2 linked regions of the Kluyveromyces lactis genome follow. The protein of the gene in region 1 interacts with the protein of each later gene in a biochemical or structural test. Links are inferred from orthologs where the notes say so. Each region holds a gene or a part of one and is shown in the gene's direction. Other genes may lie near its edges. The genes, in order: SVF1 and CKA2.

Region 1 (3,331 bases):
ATTGTAATACCTCCAATATTAACCGCCGCAAGACCTGTGGAAGCAGTGACCGCTACAGCATCTTTCCCATATTTTGCATTAAGCGTCGAGATCATGGTTCTCAATATAACGGACTTACCTGTACCTGCGCTACCTGTATAGAACACATTCAATCTATCTTTGCACACATATTCTATTACTTTCCTCTGCTCTGCAGTTAGTTCAATTCTTCCGTTAATGCTGCTAGATTTGGAGCTCTTGGAACTGGTATGAGAAACGATGGATTGTCTTGGAATCGGCTTTACGCGCTTTACTGAGGAAAGAGATAACGCATTTGAAGATGAAGAACTTTGTGAACCATCTGATACATCAGAATACGTTCTCTTGACTCCTGATAATGTTCTTTCCAGCTTAGGTTTTTGCCAACTAGATTCAGTTGCAGTTGCAGTTGCAGTTGCAGTTGCAGTTGTGGAAGAAAAGTAACCCGATACTGTTGAAGTTTGGGACGAAAAGGAACTACCGGACTGACATTGAAACTGTGACGATGATAGGAACGTTTGAGATGATGGCTTAAAGTTTTTCACTGGTTTCTTTTCTCGTAGCAGACTGTAGAAATCATCATTTGATTCTTCTTCAAACGACCCTTGGGAATGCAAAGACGAAAGCACAGACTGTGTTCTCAATGCTTTCACTGGAGGAGAAACAGTTTTTTCAGTGAAGTGTGAATTAAAACTTGAAGATGATTCTAATGCGGGCTTATTCTTCACTTTGAAGAACATATTCAAGGTGCTCTGTCCATCTTTCTTCTTATTCTTCTTATTAGCATTAAGCTTATTCAGCATTTTATCCAATTAAAAACTGGTAAAAAGGCTACCGCAGCTCGTCCTATTGATTCAAGCAGGTATAAACTAGGTATGGACCAGAGATAGAGCGCTAATAGGGTATTTTTCCTGCTTCATCGATGGATCATGTATCAGTTTCTTACGTGTTTCTCGGTGATTTTGGTTTGTTGACATTTTGGAAATGCGTGTATTATCCGGGTAACAGTTGCTATTATTTGCCAAGCACTGATGCCGTGCTTACAAGGGCCCATCAGCATTGTTTACTGACCCCCATCTGAGATCTATTCCACCAAGTGATGGTACGGAACCCAAATGCTTTTTATTGGTGCTAATAGGGTCAAAGCTCCTCGTAAAACATCAGATCACGTGACTAGCTCGTTTCGCCCATACGAAAAAGAAAAAAAATCAACAAAACTCATCTCACTTAAGAAACGAAACTTAGAGAACAACAAACAACAAACAGTAAACGAGGGGGGCGAGACAAATACCAAAAACAGTCGTTATCAGCGCATCAGAACCAGTCCAGTAGTCATTGATTATAGTTATTGTACGGGTTTGCGTTCTATTTCTTTTCTATTTCATTGATTCTAATAAGTGAATTACAGAGTAAGTTCAGTCTCAAACCTTCTCATCGGTTTGTTTGATTTATTAGATTGCTGTAAGTCATAGAAAATAGCGAGTTATTTCTTTGTCATTTGAACATCGCACATCTACGCACACAGTATCAAGCATAGCTTTACTGTAAGAAATCTCGAGTTTGCATCGAAAGTTAAGCCTACAAATTTATTCACTATCGAAATGTTGAAGTGGATTCAAGGTGGTATTAGTGCCGTCACAGGGATTGCTGAGCCAGAATATGGCCAAGAGTACATTCATCCATGTACTGAAAGAGTTAAGGGTAAGCAGCCATTCCATGTTACTAGTACGAAGGATTTCGAGTGGAGGAATCCAGACTACACGAACGTTGAGACATCAACTTTTTACTTTACTGATCTGGAAACTGGATACACTGGGTTCGCTCAAGTGATCCATTCCAACATCATTGGATTGCATACTACTGCTCAGTTTACTTTCAGGATTTACCACAAGGAAAATACAGATGATCAAATTTGGACATCGGTGAAGTTAGAGAATTTCAGAATAGAGGGAACTAATTTCTACGCTGACAATCTATCTATTGTAATGAACGAAGAAGGTACCGAAGTGCAATTCAAGTCTACCGTGGACGAAAACGTCGAAGTGGATTTCACCATCCGTAGAGCAGTTGACGGTGTCAAAGTCGGTGAAGATCCATCCACTTACTACGGTGACGATGTTACTCAACCTTGGGGTAGTATGAGACATGTTTTCTGGCCAAGAAACCACATATCTGGTAAGATTGCTGCTAAGAATGAGGAAACTAATGTCAAGATCGATTTACAGTTTTCAGAAGAAAAGAAACATTATTCCATGTTCGTTTTCGCTATGCAAGGTATGAAACCACATCATGCTGCCAAATCTTGGACCTTTTTAAACTTCCAATCAGAGGACTACACTGCCGTGCTTATGGAATTCACCACGCCTAAATCATACGCCAACACTACGGTAAATATCGGGATTGTATGTGACACCAAGAACATTTTATCCGTGACAGTAGATAACGATGCTGAATATATCGACCCTGAAGTCGATTCTGTCGGATGGCCTGTACCAAAGGAAATCTCTGTCTCCTTTAACGGTATCAATGCCGACATCAAAGACGATGACGTTGAATCTGCTGATCCATTCAACACTATCGTCAAGGGTAAATTGGATAACCTGGTGGAAAGAGTCGACGTCATGGCTGAGATTCCAACTTTTGTCAAGAACATCGTTTCTGGTGTCGCTGGTACCAAACCGTATATCTACCAGTTTTTCGACGACTTCGAATTAACTATTAAAGACCAGGAATCGAAAGGTTTCGGGTGGTGCGAAATTACTTTCATTTCAGAATCATCTGAAGTGGAAGAATCTGCATACGATGAAAACTAGAACCTTACTCATAAAAAGTGCTTCCCTTCATCAATTTTTAACGTTTTAATATATCACTCTTATTTTTCTATTCTTTTCTTTCTCATCCTTTATTATTAGATACCAACACACGTTGATTAACCCCAACGTCTCTCCTCCAGCACTGTTCTACCTACTACTTTGATAAAGAGATAATACTAACACCGATAATAATTATAATAATAACAATAATCATATCACTAATATTTGCAAACCACTATTACTTTTCCCCCCAAATTCTTTTCGACAGTATTCCGTGAGCGCGTGCATGTACTATAGAAATACCGTATTTACTCACCTAGTTAGTTAGTTTTAAAGTAATATATTTCCCTCTTTTTTCGCTCACTTTAGTGGAATAGCTTTGTTTGCTTGAAATACCCGATTGACTTAATTAATCCGAATATGCGTGAATATATGCCGCAACGTACAATAGCGAAACTGGAGTCCCGTTTTTTGAGGCCTCTCTGTCTGGAGTTTTCATC
Region 2 (3,069 bases), on another chromosome or scaffold:
CATCCAATTTGATTCTCGTCACTTAAATAAGATGCATATATGGCTGCTTTTGCCACCAAGATCTTACTGTTAGTTGTTGGAGCCTAGGCATGTGCATCTGTGTGCATAAGTAAACGATGTGGCTTGTCTGTTAACTATATTCTGGAAATATGTCAGCAAAGGAAATAAAAAAAAACTAAAAATCCGTTGCAGCGATGAACTGTGAACGGTTCAATTAACGTAAATGCGGTGAAAATTTGTTTACTTTTGTCTATGTATATGCATGTACTTCTTGAAAGTCAGGTCTTCGTAAACAGTTTCAGTAGTGTTTCTACACAGTCTTGGATCGATTCAAAACTAATGGGTTCAGTTTCTCTGAGTTCGTCTCTGAAAGCGAATTCAGACGCCTTGTACGTCATCTTGTACAATTTTTCGTGTTGAGTTCGATGAACTCCTCGTAGCCTGAGTCCTGAAAGTATGCACTGAGACAGCAACGACATAAATTGCTGCTGTTGATCGTTGAGCAAGACTTGTTTGTTCAACGAGTTACTTTTCAGTATTCGCTGACGTTTGTTCTTCTCTAGAATCGATTCGATCGACATCGTTGCTCCAGCGTTACTTGGCACAACAGATTGTAGTTCGTCGGCTGATAACGGTATCAATTTCTTATCAAGTTCGTGTTTAGTCGATAAGTGAAGTACCATCGATTCAATTTCGAAAGACGCGTTTATATCGGTCTTCAAACGCTTGTAGAATAGGAAATATTCGAATTGCTCTTTCGTCAACACTTGGGATCCCGTTACTTTACATACAATTCCTCGATTCCTGTGTCGTTGTCTCATCAACTTCGCTCTGAAATAATTGACGCTGGTCTCGCTAGTAGTGAAGCATTGGTACCGTTGACCTCTATTGAGCCAAAACGGCAGCTTATCAATGTTGACCATTCCAACAACTTCTGCCAGACAATTTTTCACTGCAATTTGGCCATCACCGTCCTCAAATTCACGCCACAACTGGACGTCTCTTATCACAGTGTTATGACCCACATTAAGCCTCAAGATAAGTTCTTTTTCTAGTGTCATAGGTTCATCGCGCAACTCTCCAGGTCCAATTCCCCTAATACCAGGCCTACCGAGGTCTTCTTTCACGTTTGCTACTTTCACTTAACAATTTGAAACTGACCAGACAATGTATTCACCTCCTTTATAGTCTTAGTTTCCCTGTATATGAAAGTCCGCCGTTGTATTGTGGTTCACGGTGCAAAAGCTTAGCTTATATCCATTGTTACCATACGAATCTTTTTTCTCTCGACGCTTTCACGGCTCCAAACAAAATGCTTTCAGTTTTCAACATTGAAATAAAGTGAAGGCAAAGAAAAAAAATGTTATTGCTCAACGTAATTGAACAATAGACAGCCAGAAGTTGGAAGTGGTTAGAGACTACAGAGGCTAGAGAGTACCGTTTTGGATCACATCAGACTCTAAGTTTTGAAAACGGGAAAAGGGAGGTCATCTCTTTTTTTTTTTTGATTTCCTTCTCATCATGTCGACGTTACAACCTTCTGCGTTGAATAAGAAGAGCAAACGAGTTTATAGCGTTGCTAGGGTGTATCAGGATGCTTGTGAGAAACGCCCTCAAGAGTACTGGGATTATGAACAATGCGTGATGATTGATTGGGGTAAGATTTCGAACTATGAAGTGATAAAAAAGATTGGTCGTGGTAAATACAGTGAAGTTTTCAAAGGGAAATCTGTATTGAACGATATACCATGCGTCATCAAGGTTCTCAAGCCAGTGAAGATGAAGAAAATTTATAGAGAGTTAAAAGTGTTAACTAATTTGACAGGGGGACCTAATATAATTGGATTATTGGATATTGTTCAAGATCCAGGATCCAAAATCCCGGCATTGATCTTTGAAGAGGTGAAAAATGTCGACTTCCGTACGCTTTATCCATCGTTTACATTATCGGATACGCAATTTTATTTCACACAATTGTTAACTGCTTTAGACTATTGTCATTCGATGGGTATCATGCATCGTGATGTGAAGCCTCAAAACGTCATGATTGATCCTAATGAACGTAAGCTAAGGTTGATCGATTGGGGATTAGCAGAGTTTTACCATCCGGGAGTGGATTATAACATCAGGGTGGCGTCTCGTTATCACAAGGGACCTGAACTCTTGGTGAGCTTAAACCAATACGATTACTCTTTAGATTTGTGGGCTGTCGGATGTATGATAGCAGCTATTGTTTTCAAGAAGGAGCCATTTTTCAAAGGAAGCACGAATGCAGATCAATTGGTGAAAATTGCCAAGGTACTTGGTACGCAGGAGTTATTCTATTACTTGAAACATTACGGATTGGATCTTCCTGCAGAATACAACGATATCATGAAGAACTACGAACGGAAACCATGGAGCTATTTCGCCAATGATAAGACGCCGTTGGCTGTGGACGAAATAATTGATTTGATCGACCATTTACTACGTTATGATCACCAAGAGAGATTAACTGCAAAAGAAGCCATGGAGCATAAATTCTTCAAAAAAGATTTCTCATAGTGTATGCCTAAACGGTAATATATATCTGTTTTCTCATCTCTCTATCATCAAATTTTCTTTTCCCTCTTATCTTCCATTTATGGTTAACTTTGGGGGATTCTTCTTCTGTCTTTGATTGCTTTCCAATTAAAAGCATGTATACTAATAACATATAATTAATACAACACCTGAAAAAGAGGACAGAAACACATGTCTCTTTTGCTTAAGATTTAAAGAAGATGTAATATTATGATAGTCGTTAATTCATTAAAAAGGATATATAATTAATAGGTGTAATAGCTACCAAACCTGAAAGAAAAGGCTCTTACTAGCGCAGGCGCAGAGAGAGAGACACTACTATAAGTAGGAAAGGAAATAGACCAAAGGAATATGAAACAGGGTGGAAATAGTTACAAAAACCCATGATCGAAACTATTATTGCGGTGAAAGTTCAGTGATGAGAATTGAAAATGCCATTATTATTAGTCTATATTTCTCAATCACAGGGAAAAAAACAATCTTTTGGTATCAAATGCGTAAAGATCC

The links.
Region 2: of the proteins of SVF1 (region 1) and CKA2, one has a biochemical effect on the other in vitro, tested with the Saccharomyces cerevisiae proteins (3 studies listed by BioGRID). The link is inferred for Kluyveromyces lactis from reciprocal best matches to the Saccharomyces cerevisiae genes SVF1 and CKA2.

The regions. Positions count from the first base shown.
Region 1 is NC_006040.1:1,145,934-1,149,264, reverse strand, and holds SVF1 (Svf1p), read left to right. Parts: upstream 1-1,619; coding exon 1,620-2,831; downstream 2,832-3,331. Other genes in the region: RRM3 (DNA helicase), read right to left, coding at 1-821. UniProt on the Saccharomyces cerevisiae protein: Ceramide-binding protein that may transfer ceramides from the endoplasmic reticulum membrane to the cis-Golgi network membrane, and is thereby required for the biosynthesis of complex sphingolipids. Required for survival in response to oxidative stress.
Region 2 is NC_006042.1:1,518,279-1,521,347, forward strand, and holds CKA2 (casein kinase 2 catalytic subunit CKA2), read left to right. Parts: upstream 1-1,521; coding exon 1,522-2,544; downstream 2,545-3,069. Other genes in the region: SLD7 (Sld7p), read right to left, coding at 279-1,061. UniProt on the Saccharomyces cerevisiae protein: Catalytic subunit of a constitutively active serine/threonine-protein kinase complex that phosphorylates a large number of substrates containing acidic residues C-terminal to the phosphorylated serine or threonine.